Linked DNA regions of Danio rerio. Each later gene encodes a partner of the first gene's protein in a complex. Links are inferred from orthologs where the notes say so. Each region holds a gene or a part of one and is shown on either strand. Other genes may lie near its edges.

The links. The genes of interacting proteins can lie anywhere in the genome.
Region 2: the proteins of naa25 (region 1) and naa20 are in contact, whole or in part, in a cryo-EM structure (PDB 7STX), measured with the Homo sapiens proteins. The link is inferred for Danio rerio from reciprocal best matches to the Homo sapiens genes NAA25 and NAA20. Residues at the interface, in NP_079229.2 of Homo sapiens: Ser226, Glu227, Ile228, Asn259, Asp261, Asp262, Trp263, Gln264, Arg318, Arg321, Leu325, Lys362, Pro363, Cys364, Thr367, Asp368, Val371, Leu457, Thr459, Glu460, Leu461, Ser504, Ala506, Leu510, Leu532, Asp533, Lys535, His536, Ile537, Gln538; in NP_057184.1 of Homo sapiens: Thr2, Thr3, Leu4, Arg5, Thr8, Cys9, Asp10, Leu12, Phe13, Phe15, Asn16, Asn19, Leu20, Pro22, Leu23, Thr26, Tyr27, Gly28, Ile29, Pro30, Leu33, Gln34, Leu36, Ala37, His38, Pro40, Glu41, Pro49, Glu52, Met54.

What each region holds. Positions count from the first base shown.
Region 1 is NC_133185.1:3,866,978-3,874,759, forward strand, and holds the start of naa25 (N-alpha-acetyltransferase 25, NatB auxiliary subunit), read right to left. Parts: upstream 5,123-7,782; 5' UTR 5,089-5,122; coding exon 5,031-5,088; intron 1-5,030. UniProt on the Homo sapiens protein: Non-catalytic subunit of the NatB complex which catalyzes acetylation of the N-terminal methionine residues of peptides beginning with Met-Asp, Met-Glu, Met-Asn and Met-Gln. May play a role in normal cell-cycle progression.
Region 2 is NC_133195.1:52,307,750-52,315,390, forward strand, and holds the start of naa20 (N-alpha-acetyltransferase 20), read right to left. Parts: upstream 4,269-7,641; 5' UTR 4,241-4,268; coding exon 4,188-4,240; intron 2,631-4,187; coding exon 2,606-2,630; intron 2,484-2,605; coding exon 2,393-2,483; intron 1,137-2,392; coding exon 1,001-1,136; intron 1-1,000. Other genes in the region: CD109 antigen, read left to right, coding at 6,521-6,591. UniProt on the Homo sapiens protein: Catalytic subunit of the NatB complex which catalyzes acetylation of the N-terminal methionine residues of peptides beginning with Met-Asp, Met-Glu, Met-Asn and Met-Gln. Proteins with cell cycle functions are overrepresented in the pool of NatB substrates.

The sequences.
Region 1 (7,782 bases):
TGCCGGAAGCCCCTTTAGCTTAGCTTAGCATAGATGATTAAATTAGATTAGACCATTAGCAACTCGCTCAATTCAAAGAGTAATATAATAATATATAATAATTTCTAAGATAAATTTTCTTGATTGTTACACCAGGTAAAGCTCAACATTTTTCTTTCCCCCTTGCGTTGTTGTGGATGTTCTCATCCTCTCTGGGGCGATTTTGAGTCTTATTTAGCCACAACTTTCTCTGTGTTTCAGCAAATGGAATGATTTCCCTTATTTTGACACATATTTTGGGAAAATGCTTTGGAATTTTTCAAAAACTCAGAAATACACACTGGGCAAATGTACTACTCTTTCATTGTGTTTGGGGCTGTTTCTGCCCATTGACTTCCATTATAGCCACATTGTTTTATTGCACAACATGACACTATATAGTCATACATTCTGGATTGTTCCTGGTTTTTCCTGTTTGGGGTCAAATTTGTTCTTTTGAGAGTGCAAAAAAAAGCTTAGTTTGTGGCTTTTATATGGAGTAATGTGTGGGAGTGTAAGAGACCTTTGCACATATACCTTGATATGTTTGAGAAAATACCCTCAGCTCTCAGAACACAGTAAACAAAGTGTATTTAAGCAGAAACAGTATAATCTGCTGTTTTAATCTATATAACTCTACATAAAAGTCAGAAACTTTTTTTGCACAGGCCTATCTAAAGGGTCTAAATGAAGCCAACTAATAATCAACAGTAAAAATGGCAAATTATACCTATTCCCAAGAGGGAAAACCAGCAACAATCAGGAATGTATGATTATTTGGCCTCATGGCTTTGCAATCAAAAATGTGATAATGAAAGTCAATTGGACAAAAACAGCCCCTAACATAATGAAGGGGTAGTCAATTTGAACAGTATACAAGCGTTAAAAAAGTGAAGTGTTCATTAAACCAGCACTGTTTAACACATTGAATGAAATAAAAAATAAATAAACTGAACAATAAACTGAACTGAAAATGGTTTATTTTTGGGTAACTTGTACATCCTATGATGCTAATCCAAAATTAAAGGTATAAAAGCACTGGCAAAGAGGACCAAATGCTTGCAGACACTCAGACGCACAACACAGAGCTCGGACTGTGAGAACGTTCTCTCACCAAATGCTCAATCCAATTCTGAGCGCAGGAACCCCCTCCCTCCTGTCCCAAAAGTCTCTGCTAAAAGAACACAGGACTGTGTCTCATGACAGCTGGATCCCAAAATTAACCAGGCCAGACAGTAGATGCTGAATTTCTGCAAGAGAACAGTTCTGTGTCTCTGTCCAGTAATACATCTAACTAGCATTGTTCCTTCTGTTCAATCACCCACACAGAAACACAGTCTGACTCCAAGCACAAAGCACCAAAATAAAGGTCAGTGATCTGTTGATTGTTATGGATTGGCTAGCGTGGCAGTGAGTCGCTGATATGACCAAAAATAATATAATAACAGTTTGGATCTATTCAAAATGAAACATAGTATTTTTTATAATTTCTATATTATATAATAAATAATAATATAATTGATTGATTCTAGGGTTGTAACAATATACCGGTATGACGTTTTACCACGATTTGAACGTGCACGATTATCATACCATGAACAATTGCATATCAACGGTTTTAACCCTTAAAGACCGAGACAGCCGCCCGCGGCTAAAAATAAGTATTGCTCTTAAATGTTTAATAACTTTTGATCCGCTGATCCGATTCATACAATTCAAAGATTGGCATAAAGAAGAGAATCTCAGCTTTCCAGTGCTGCATCACATAACATTCGCGGACTTTCAGAGGCTCCGGAATCAGTGCGGTTACGTCATCAACATTTGACAACGCTGATTTGACAAAGAAACACTCGTCACTGTGTCTCCGGACAAATCAGACATGATACATTGATGCATTGTCCCTCCTCCATGCCCAGATTGGTTCAAACTCGCTATATCACAACCAATAAGCATAGGTTTCACTTTTGTTTGTGGACCAAGCTTTTTGAACAACACGGAATGAGAGAAAGGCATATATTTATGCACGGCTAAATAAAACGCAAAAAAAAAAAAGTTTTGCATGAAATAATTCTCATACTAAGTACTTTTGCATGCACAGCAGCACAGAAACATGACAAAACAGTGACACAGCTAAGACGAACTGCTGCTCTTGCTGTTTTCAAAAGACGCAAATGAAGATGCAGCTGTTTGTCTGCATTGCATACAACCATATCCAAATCCATATCCACAGACAACCATATCCATGCTGGCACATAAAACCTAAGGATGCTCCATATTGAATCTAGTTTCGTTATGTAACTATTTATAGTATAGTAAATATTTATATCTATTTTTTACTGAGGATTTGCACCATGTTTATTTGGACTTTATTTGGACTTTGACACATTATTTATTATTTTCTTATTTTTTAATTGTTCATTGTAAGTGGTGTTGTTTATAGTAACTAAAAATATATTATTTGGAAAAAGTCAAATTTGCTTCACTGTTCTATTATTTTGTAACATTTGTAACATACCGTATACCGCGAAACCGTCAAACCGTGGTATTGTTTTAGACGATTATCATACCGTGAAAAATTCATACCGTTACAACCCTAATTGATTCATTCATTCATTCTCTACTGCTTTTCCAGGGCTGGGTCGTGTGGGCAGCAGTCTTAGGAGAGAACCCCAGACTTCCCTCTCCCCAGACACTTCCTCCAGCTCCTCTGGAAGGATCGAGGCGTTCCCAGGCCAGCCCAGAGACATAGTCCCTACACCGTGTCCTGGGTCTTCCCCGAGGCCTCCTCCATTTGGGACATGCCTAGAACAGCTCCCTAGGTAGGCGTTCAGGAGGCATCCAAAACAAATGCCAAAGCCACCTCAGCTGACATCTATCGATGTGAGGCGCAGCGGCTCTACTCCAAGCTCCTACCGAGTGACAGAGCTCCTCACCTTATCCATTAAGGTGAACCCCACGAAGGAAACTCATTTTGGCCGCTTGTATCCAAGATCTTGTCCTTTCAGTCATGACGCAAAGCTCATGACAATAGGTGAGTGTAGGAACGTAGATATAATTTAATTTGAAGAAGATATATTATGCAAAAATAACTTCTATAAAAAGATTTAAACACAGACAAGTGGCCCCAGAGTGTAAATATAGCCAGCCTCTAATGCTGCGTTCCCTCCAGATGCGGATGATTTACATGTTAAGTCACTGCTAAGACGAGAATAGACATCCTGCGGCAAGTTTTTGCGCGAATAAGGCGACGCAAATGACGTGACTACGCACGAGTTGAGCTTTTAGTGCGTTCAACAATCTGGTCAAGCTGGAACATTTTAACTTCAGCTGACATTTGCACCACGTTAACCAATCAGGAGCTTGCTCTTGTAGGGGCGTGATTATGATGTAGCGCCTGTTGTTGGTGTCATGAAGAGAAATCCTCTATCCGACAACGGACAACAGCTCATCAAACTGGGCTCGGCTCAGTTTGAATCACCGCTGAAAGCCTTCATCATCCAGGTATAGTTTCTAGAGGAGTTGATGAACTGGGTGCACCTCTGAAAGGATTTAGTTGATCAGACCGGAAATGGGCGTTAATAGTGTCATAATGCAAGTACGCTTTTCCAAATAACACATCATATTTCATCCTTTATAATATTTCATTTAATTATAGTCATTTTAACAATTACATAATGAGGCATTGAAATCCGATTGTGAAAATGGATATCCTAAACAAATAAATAGTAATAATAATAATAATAATGATAATAATAATAGATGTTAAAAATGTCCAAGGTAAAAAGAACTAGAAAAAAGTAACCGATCTATTTTCAGTCATCAGGCACCCACATGAAAGCGTACTATAGTAATTTATAGCAAATACTATAGTGCTTTTTTTATCCATATTGACTCTGACACCTCCGATAGAGATAGAGAGGTTGTGCAACCAGCTAAAATGTGGCTAGAATTGGTTTTTATGTATGGCCGATATATATTGCATCACCAAAATCGATTGAGGTCATGTCCACGTGTTGTGCGATAAATCGATATAAGGATTATTGTGACAGGTCTAGTTAAACATATCAAATGAGGTAAAGTTAATTTTATATTCACACATTCAGACGTTCTCTTCAATAATATAATTTCAGAAAAGCATTGTTTGCTTATTCTAAATAGTAAAAATCATATTATCTAAATACAAAATGATTCACAGTCAAATAAATAGTGCTAATGTTGTTTTGAAGTCCTACTTGCATGTGATTTCAGACCTAATATTTAAAGTATCATGGTAAACAATATAGGTCACAAGTTGTCACTGAATGAATGTGCGAATATAAAACCAACTTTACCTCAATCAAATATCAGTGGTGTAACTCTAGGCAATGTTAAGACTAAGATTTGAAGCATTTAAAAAGTTATTAAAATGGCCTTTCAGCACTCATATTGAGAACATATCCCAAATTTAGACGGCATAGTTCACAAAGAGGCTTAAAAATAAGCTCTAGTACAGAATCAGCAGGTTCATCTCAGCTCATTTAGACATAAAGTGCAGCTTTATGAATCTGTAACATAATTACAAAGGTTATACTAACCTAAACATATCTAAAGGCATGCAAAGCACAAGTCTCGCAGTCTACAAGCATAACAACACAGAAAGAACATGAAATATTAAAGCACAAAAGGCTCATATGTGGCAGTTAATCTCTTTGACATCTCTCACAGGTTAGGAGCTGGATCATCAGATGACATTGTCACTTATGTCCGGATATTTAAAGCGCATTTCTGTGATAAAGGGGCTAAACGCAAAGGTGTTTTGCATCGATATAAGGGTCAGACTGTGACCGCATAAAGACGCACTGTCATAGGGCACCGCAGCCGAACTGAGACCGCGGCTTCAGCTCCACAGGCCTCACCGGCTCTCCACAGCTCCTGCAGCCATTTGATAAACACAACAACGCACTGGTCGGTCTTGCAACACTAGCGAGACCAGCAGGGTCTCCATCAGCCCCACGGTGCGGTTTTTATCTTACCGTAGATAGGTCGTAGCCTCCTGTCGTTAGGGTCTTGCACATGGCCCCTCGCCGCCATGATGGAGCTGAGCAGGATTAATTGATGCGCATGCGCAGAGCGAGCACTCCGGAAAGACTTTAAACGGGAACCTGGGAGTCATGCGTGTCGTTCAGTGTCACTGTAAAAGACACATCTCCCGATGTATTCTGCTTTATGTTTATGGTTCAGACAAGTCATTATCAGACATTGTGAATATTGTTTTCCTAATTGCTAAATATTACAAACACTGCTGTATGCAGGAAGACTCTCCTCCATGCTTTGAACATTTCCGGAACGAACTTAACCGTTGTGTCGAGTTGGGGATGTTTTCATCCACTCTGTCGCGATTTTGAGGCTTAATTTGGCCACAGCTCTCTCTGTTTCAGCTAGCAGAATGATCTTTGGTTACAAATCTTATTTTGACACATATTTTAAGAAAATGCTTTGAAATAATAATAATGAAAAAAAAAAACTCAACGATACTCTCTGGGCAAATTACTACCTTTTTGTTATAGGGATGGAAACATCCACCGAATTAAACTTGTAAAAATGCATCAGATAAATAATTTATTTTATAAATGTTGTTAATCAACCTCAGTCCTGATCAAAACTACTAATCTGCTAAGAAAAATACAGGATTTTACCTATTTAATTGTCAAATTCATAAATGATGTCACTGATTTGGTGAAAAAACACACACAAAATTACGTATTTTCAAAATAAAAGTAATTGAGGACTGGATTTGTTTTTACCTGCATAGTCTACCAATCATCACAAATACTGCAGAAGACCTACAGGAGCCTGCATGGACCCAAGATTCTCACAAAAATCAGTCAAGTTTGGTGAAGGAAAAATCATGGTTTGGAGTTACATTCAGTATGGAGGCGTGTGAGAGATCTGCAGAGTGGATGGCAACATCAACAGCCTGGGGTATCAAGACATTTGTGCAGCCCATTACATTACAAACCAAAGAGAGGGCGAATACTTCAGCAGGATAGCGCTCCTTTTCATACTTCAGCCTCCACATCAAATCTCCTGAAAGCAAAGAAGGTCAAGGTGCTCCAGGATTGGCCAGCCCAGTCACTAGACATGAACATTATTAAGCATGTCTGGGGTAAGATGAAGGAAGAGGCATTGAAGATGAATCCAAAGGATCCTGATGAACTCTGGGAGTCGTGCAGGAACGCTTTCTTTGCCATTCCAGATGACTTTATTAATCAGTGAGTCATTGCAGAGATGTATGGATGCAGTCCTCCAAGCTCATGATGGAGTCAGACACAATATTCATTCTGTCTCCACTGCAGCAGGACTTTATATTCTATACTGGACATTATTTCTGTTCAGTGATGAGACTTTAGTCTAAGCAAAGTCAGACCTTACTGTCCTAATGAAATCATTAAAAATCAAGGCATGATCATGTTATATTCTGATAAAATAAGTGTAATCTAGAGGCCTTTGCCTTTCATATAAGCCACTTCTGATACCAAATGATCAACTAGAAGTCAAGTTATTCTTTTGTTCTACCTAAAACTTGAATAGGCAATAATAATAACAATACATTTTATTTAAAGGCACCTTTCTGGCAACTCAATGACACCGTACAATAAATCAAGAGCAATAAAACAACGAGAAATAATAAAAATATACACAGGAATGGACCAGATAAAATTAAATATTAACAGCCATCTTAAATAAGTGGGTTTTGAGTCTTGATTTGAATAGTGTGAGGGAGTCAATGCTTCTAGTGGCAGGTGGTAGTGAGTTCCAAAGCCGGGAAGAAGAGCAGCTGAATGCTCTGTTGCCCATAGACGAGCAGAGAGAGGAAGAAGATTGCAGGTTGTGAGAAGGAACAGGAACGTGGATGAGGGCAGACAAATATAGAAGGGCGAGATTGTGGATGGTTTTGAGTGTTAACATCGAAATTTTTAAATCAATTCGAAAATAAACAGGTCACCAATGAAGCTGCTGCAGGACAGGGGTGATGTGATGAGAAGAAGGGGTTCTGGTGATGATACAGGCAGCTGAGTTCTGGGACAACTGAAGCTTATGGAGGGATGTAAGAGTGAGACTAAAGGGAACGAGACGTGAAACGAGACGTGACAAGGCTATGGACGAGAACAGCTGTAGCGTGAGGGGTAAGAGAAGGAGGAGACGGGAAATGTTGCGTATGAAGTAAGCAGACCGGGTGATGTTATTGATGTGAGAATCAAAAAATAGCATGCTATCAAGGATGACACCCAGACTCTTAACCTGTTCAGAGGGATAAATGAAACAGTCATCAACAAGACTTTTGTCAGGTAGTGTAGGTGTATTTTACAGGTAAGTATTTAGATGTATTTTACATTTACATTTAGCAGATGCTTTTATCCAAAGCGACTTACAAATGAGGACAAGGAAGAAATTTACACAACTATAAGAGCAACAATGAATAAGTGCTGTAGGCAAGTTTCAGGTGTGTAAAGTGTAAGAAGGAAAGCGTTATTAATTTTTTTTTTTTGTGTAGTTAGTGGAGGAGTCAGAGAGGAAGTTGCATATTAGTAAGGAAAGTGGAGACTAAATAGTTGAGTTTTTAGTCGTTTCTTGAAGACAGCGAGTGACTCTGCCGTTCTGATGTAGTTAGGGAGTTCATTCCACCAACTGGGCAGATTGAATGCGAGAGTTCGGGAAAGCGTTTTCTTCCCTCTTTGGGATGGAACCACGAGGCGACGTTCATTCACAGAGCGTAAGTTTCTG
Region 2 (7,641 bases), on another chromosome or scaffold:
ACACTCAGGCCCTGATTACACTAATATATCTTTGTTTTTAAATGGCATTTTAGAACGACAACGATCCACATCCACACTGGCGTGTAGCATTTCTGAGCAGCCCTCCTTCCTCACTACCGCTGAAAACGCACATCACGTGACCACACACACTCATTCACACACATATACAGACGCACACACATTGTCATGCGCTCGAGACAGCGGGTCAAGGCAGTCTGCGAGTCAGTAGACTGCTTCCATCTTTTACTTTCACACAAGTACTTAGTCATTTTAGCGAACACCTCAGATACTGTTGGCTGGTTTCCGTTGGTTGAGCAACTTTTTTACCGACGCCATTATAACGACACAGATCACGAGTGCCGCATTAAAAAGTGATTGACAGGTTGTAATTATGTGTGTAACTTACCTTTATTCATTTACTGTATGATTTGTTTATGGGTAAAACAAAGACCATGCAAGTCAGGTATTTTAAACGGTAGGCTACTAATAATTAATTCGTTATTAATTAATTAATTAATTATTCAAAATCGAAAATCGAATCAAATCGTGACTTTAGAATCGAAAATGTAATCGAATCGAGGATTTGGAGGATCGTGACACCCTTAATATTAATAAATATATACATATATATATATATATATATATATATATATATATATATATATATATATATATATATATATATATATATATATAATTTTTTTTATTTTTAATGGATTCAATTTCATTTGAATTTAAATGTATTATCTTTCTATTCCTATAGATGTTAGGTGACATAACTGTTTAATAAAATCAAACATGTTCATGTATATTGCCTATATTCACTGAGAAATGGATAAAACTATTCATTTTTAAAAGGAAACGTACTCATTTATGCTGAGCACTGCATGTTGTCATGTTTAGCTTGATGAATGTTACACTTTCAGTAGCGTGTTCTTTCTTTTACATGCATTTTATCTAGCAGATAAGTTTGTAGCTGGAACGAGTAATGCTACAACACCTTTCTGAGATCTCCTCTAACATCTCCATGAGTTTCGCAGCCAGACCCAGCCGTCTGAACTCTGGGGCCACAGAGAGGGCAGTGACGTGCCCGTGCCATTCCTCTCTGGCGACGGAGCCCTCGGCCTTTCCCATGACTGCAGGATGACAATGGACATACAGGTTATTCATACAGCAATATTCACAATAAGTTTACCCTTGATTGTGCTGTCGAGGATGTTTTCATCCACTCTGGAGTGATTTTGAGTCTTTATTAGTCCACGACTTTCTCTGTTTCAGCAAATGGAATGATTTTTGCAGACAAATCTTATTTTGATATATATAATTTGGGAAAATGCTTAGACATTTTTCAATACCTCAACAATACACTGGCAAACTACCCTTTCGTTATTTTTGTGGCTGTTTTTGCCCTATTGACTTCCATTATTATGATATTTTTTGATTGCACAGCCATGAGACCATATAATGATGCATTATTGATTGTTGCTGGTTTTCCCTGTAGGAAAGAGATAGAATTTGCTTACTTTTATTGAGCTGCATGTTGAAATTTAGCCTGTGTATGTGTTTTTATCTAGAGCCCTGCCTTTGAGCCCGACGGGACCTGACTTTTTTATGCCCCTCTGGCTGGGCTTCCAGCCAATTTTCACGTCATAGCTAGCACGCATATCGGGCCTGCATTAGGAAAAAACATGCGCATAGAGATTTCCAGCCACGTACAATAGCGAACATAAAGAGAAAAATTGCCAATGGCGAACTTAAAACTGTGAAAAACGCTAGAGGAAGGACAAACTTCTGGTCAACTACTTTAATAGTGACGACTTTAAATGATGAGCCAACTGGTTATGCACAATGCACAACTTGTAAGTCCAGGGGCGCCTGCAGGATTTTATTTCCAATTATGCAAAAATCCAGCACCGTCCTGCCTTATCCCTTATTCTTATTTCAATCTAGGAAACACTGATGCTTGCTGTCAAAGGATACATTATTTAAGGGCATTCGTTATGCCATAATTCGTTTCTTTTTTAATATTAATATAGTTGCTTTGAAATCTAAATATAATAAAAGCAAATCAGCTCAAGGAAAAATCTTTAAAACTATGACCTATTAAAAAATTAGCAAATATATGACAGAGGATTGTGGTTAATTTCCACTGACTGCAACAAATCATCCATCCGCACAGTTGAGTAATGGATAGGCTCAAATAAAAATAAAATTAGTATATTTGTTTTGGAAAATATATTTTGCATTATGCATGTAAACATTTTCAAAGTGTTTATTTCACAGAGGAAACTCAAGTCAGACTTTCAGGTGTGGAATGACATACAGGTGAGTAATCAATGTCTGGTTATTCACTTTTATTTGAAGCTAAAATAAATTAGAAAGAGGCACTCACTGTAGCCCATCAGTTCACCGCCTGGAGCTTCAGCTACTATGAAATACTCCGGCCAATGAGCCAAATACTGAAGATAGAAGGGAATTCCATACTGTTCATTGAAAGTTAAGAAAAACGGACAAGTATGCAAAATACAGAGGAAGACAATTAGTTAGATTAGTGACAAACTGATTAATTAGACAAAGATGTCAGTGAGTTTTTCTTAAAGGATACTGTTTCTGTCAGGGGGTCCAGATTACTGTGGGATAAAAATACAGAAATGTAAATATTAGCCTAGCATATTCATTCAGATGCACACTTACCGGCCACTTTATTAGGTACACCTGTCCAACTGCTCGTTAACCCAAATGTCTAATCAGCCAATCACATGGCAGCAACTTAATGCATTTAGGCATGTAGAAATGGTCAAGATGATTCAAACCGAGCATCAGAATGGGGAAGAAAGGGGATTTAAGTGACTTTGAATGTGGCATGGTGACAAGCTGGTCTGAGTATTTCATAAACTGCTAATCTACAGGGATTTACACGCACAACAATCTCTTGGGTTTACAGAGAATGGTTCAAAAAAGTGTAAATATCCAGTGAGAGGCAGTTCTGTCAGTGCAAATTTGTGCCCATTAGTACCAACTGAGCATCGTGTCAATGCCAGAGTCTACATGAACTGTTGCTGACCATGTGCATCCTTTTATGACCACAGTGTACTCGTCTTCTGATGGCTACTTCCAGCAGGATAACGCGCCATGTCATAAAACAGGAATCAACTCAGACTGGTTTCCTGAACATGACAATGAGTTCACTGTACTCAAATGGCCTCCACACCACAGTCACCAGACTCCAAGCCAATAGAGCACCTTTGGGATGTGGTGAAATGGGAGATTTGCATCAGGGATGTGCAGCCGACAAATCTGCAGCAACTACGTGAATATGTAGCAAAATCTCTGAGGAATATTTCCAGTACCTTGTTGAATCTATGCCATGAAGGATTAAGGTAGTTCTAAAGGCAAAAAAGGGTCCAACCTGGTACTAGTAAGGTGTACCTAATAAAGTGGCCGGTGAGTGTATGTGATCCTAGACCACAAAACCAGTCCTAATTTGCTGTTTTATCTTTGGCATTGGCCAAAAATACACTGAATGTGTCATGATGGTTGACTTTTATGCCAAAATCAAATCATTATTAACATTTTATATATTTCTTACTGCAAAAATATCAAAAATGTTTTGGTTAGTAATGTGCATTCCTATCCACTTCATTTAGACACATCTAAAGGCTATTTTCTCGTTATTTTATTATTTTTAACCCTCAGATTACAGATTTTCATAAGCTATATTTGAATAGTTGTATGTAACGTTATAGTTATATAGTGATACTTATGACTATTTTGTCGTACACGGTCATATGTGGGCAAATACAATAGTAAGCGTCCAATTAATAACATTTATAAAGGCAAAAATCTGATATCACAACTAGATATATGGCTGAACATTACTTGAATCGTCATTATTAATCAGTAATAACAATATATACGTGCACAGTAACGTTAAACCACCAGACATGTACATGTACCATGGTTTTCACGTAAGTACGATGGCGTAGCATTTACATACTAGTTCAAAACACAGTCATTTGAACTTAAATATAACAACTGTAGTGATACCATTGCGAAGTAAAGGCTTAATGGGTATACCATGGTAACGTACTGAGTAACATCGTATCACCCTCACTTTGTAATCAAGCCACAACAGTAGGTTACGTTTCTGAAATTGTGATTATATAACTAGTAATCAAATTACTCACATATTGTTGAATTTAAACAGATCATCGCACGTGAAAGCTCGTAATGTTGTCATTTTCCAGTGTGTTGCAGGACAGGACGACGCTCTGACCTCTCACCCCTACGTCACACGTACGTTTTACTGTTGGTGGTTTGGACAGCGACATCATTCGGCTAAATGGAGGAAAAACACAGGCCGATTTATTCGATGTAAGGTAACTATTCATTTATAACCAATTAATATTCTATACTTAACGAATTCTTTATTTATTAGTTAGTTAGAATTTAATATAAGCTATTAGTAAGACTTTCAGTTCACAAATAGAAAACATGATGCTAGTTTCTTCAAATATTTTACTGTCTATCAAAACTCCTCACATCAGTCTCCTCTTAAATGGACAGTTCATTCAAAAAATGATTATTTATTTACTATTTACTCAATCTCGAGTCCTTTCAAACCTTTATAAGTTTCTTCTGTTTATATTAAACACACTTATTTTAAACACAAAATAAGATTTTTTTTTTGAAGAAAGCTAATGTCCTGTAACTTTAACACTGACCTCCATAGTAGGAAAAATAGGTTTACAACATTCTTCAAAATATCTTTTTTTGGGGTTGTCTTCTTTCCAGTGTTATGGATGTGACATTTGCAGTTAAATCTTGAAACGTAAGTAAGTAGCTAAAGTTTATTTATGAAGCACATTTACAGTAACTTCAGTGTGGCGCTGAACAAAACCATAGCACATATTCTAAAGCAGTAAAATAACAATAAAAGTAATAATAGGAATAATAGTATGACAGCAACAATGCACACAAAATAATAAAAGCCTGGGAAGGCAATTGAATAAAAATGTGTCTTAAGTCTGGACTTAAAAATAGAGATAGAAGAAGCACTCGTAATGTCCGGTGGCAGCAGGTTCCAAAACCAGACTGCAAAGGCTCTATCTCCAGTTTGAATAGTGACCAAGGAATTAGCAATAACATTTTATTTGATGACCTAAGAGGCAGAGGAGTTGACTGTAGGTTAATAAGTTCAGATATAAGGTGCTTGCCCATTCAGTGCTTTAAAAACAGTAAGTAAAACCTTGAACTGAATTCTAACATTAACAGGAGGTCAAGGGATGCTAAAACTGGTGAGATATGAGCTTGTTTTTCGGTGCCTGTTAAAAGTCTAGCTGCCCCATTTTGAACCAACTGCAACCGTGCCAATGAAGATTGAGGGAGACCAACATAAAAGAAATTGCAATAGTCTAGGCGGGACTTGATAAAAGCATGTATGACTTTTCCAGATCTTAAAAGGAAAGAATGGATTTGAGTCTGGAGATGATCCTCAGCTTATAGTAACTATTCTTAACGACTGAGCAAATTTGTTTTCTAGACAAAGCTCTGAATCAAAGATAACTTCTAGATTTTTTACTTGCGATTTAACATATGGTGTAAGACTTCCCAAGCCCACTATATAAGACATTCTTGTTTTTGAGGGGCCGAAGAGAATAACTTCACTTTTGTCATTATTAAGTTTAAGGACGTTTTGTCATTATTAATTAGTGTCTTTTGCCATCCAACAATTAATATGCTGAAGACAATCAATTCGAGACTGCTGGGAGTTCTGAGATTTTAAAAGAACATACTGCTGGGAGTCATCTGCATAATAATGAAAAAAGATGTTATATATCCTTTTAATATTACCAAGAGAAAGCATATATAAATTGAAGAGCATTGGACCCAGAATAGAGCCCTGGGGGACACCACACAGAAGATTGGCAGATGTTGACATAAATTGGCCAACAGAAACTGAAAAAGACCTGGATTTCAGATATGACTGAAACCAATGAAGTGCTGAACCCTTTATGCCCACCCAATGTTCCAGACGTGAAAGGAGTATGGTATGATCGAGTCGACTGTATCAAAAGCAGAGCGCAGATCCATTAAAACCAAAACTGCATTATTGCCAGAATCTTGCCATGCAGGACTTGAACCAGTGACCTTTTTGCTGTGAGGTGACAGTGCTAACCACTGAGCAACCCAAAGACATTGGATCCAACTGTTGAAGAAGTCCAAACATGCGGCTCATAAAAGTAACAACTTTTGACCAATAAGCTCTAATAACATGACAACTCAATAATGAATGAAGAGGAAAAGAGTAAATGATGACAGAGTTTAAGGTGAACTCTCTGTCAGCTCTCTGTGGTGTTATGTAAGTGTGTTTTATATGTGCGGTGAATGTGCTGTTATTCCCTCAGGTGTGTACAGTAGGTGGAGTAATGCAGGATCAGGTGTTGAGTCTCACTTTTAAAAGCGTTCTACGGGTCTCGGTACTTTAGTAAACTCTTTCACTGGAGACTAGCACCTGAAAATGGAGTGGCTTCAGTTCTTTGGGATCCTGGTGTGTTCACTGGTCTGCAGAGGAGCGATGGTTACATCAAGGTTTGATACTTTTTTATTAATTTATTTTATTAAAGTTACATACAGTCGAAGTAAAAATTAATAGACTTTCTTTTATTTTTTTCAAATATTTCCCAAATGATGTTTAACAGAGCAAGGACATTTTACAGTATTTCTGATAATAATATTTCTTCTGGAGAAAGTCTTATTTGTTTTATTTTGGCTAGACCAAAAGCAGTTTTAAATTTTTTAAACACCATTTAAAGGTCAATTTTAGTCAAGGTCAAAATTATTAGCCCCCTTAAGCAATATATATTTTTTGATAGTGTACAGAACAAGCCATCGCTTTACAAAAACTTGCCTATTTACCCTAATTTGCCTAATTAACCTACAGTAGTTAAGTCTTTAAATGTCACTTTAAGCTGAATACTTATAGTAATATCTTAGTCATAGTCTTAGTCTTAGTCATCATGGCAAAGATAAAATAAATCAGTTATTTGAAATGAGCTATTAAAACTATTATGTTTAGAAATGTGTTGAAGAAATCTCTGTGAACAACTTGGGCAAAATATAAAAGAATTCAAGGTTAACAGGAGGGCTAATAATTCTGACTTCAACTGAATTTCTGTGTTTTAAGGGTGATTATTAAAAAGCATTATTACACGTAACCCTCAATCAAACTTCAATTATGCTCTAAATTTGCAGTGGTGGTATGAAAGAATATGTTTTTTTTTGTTTGAATTAAAATTAGCATTTTCTTTTAAAAGATTTACTTTCTCTTTTTTGGTGTGAAGAATTATTATTATTTTAATTTTTTTGCTGAAGTTTTATATATATATATAATTTATTATTAATTATTATTATTAGTTAATATATATATATATATATATATATATATATATATATATATATATATATATATATATATATATATATATATATATATATATATATATATATTTTTTTTTTAAAGACAGATAAATAACTTTTTTTGTGAAGTGGAATGTTTAATGATTGTTCATGTATTTGTTAATGCCATAAAGATCCTTTATTTTTAGTGTAAGCACACACTATGCCACTTGGTTTTTTTAT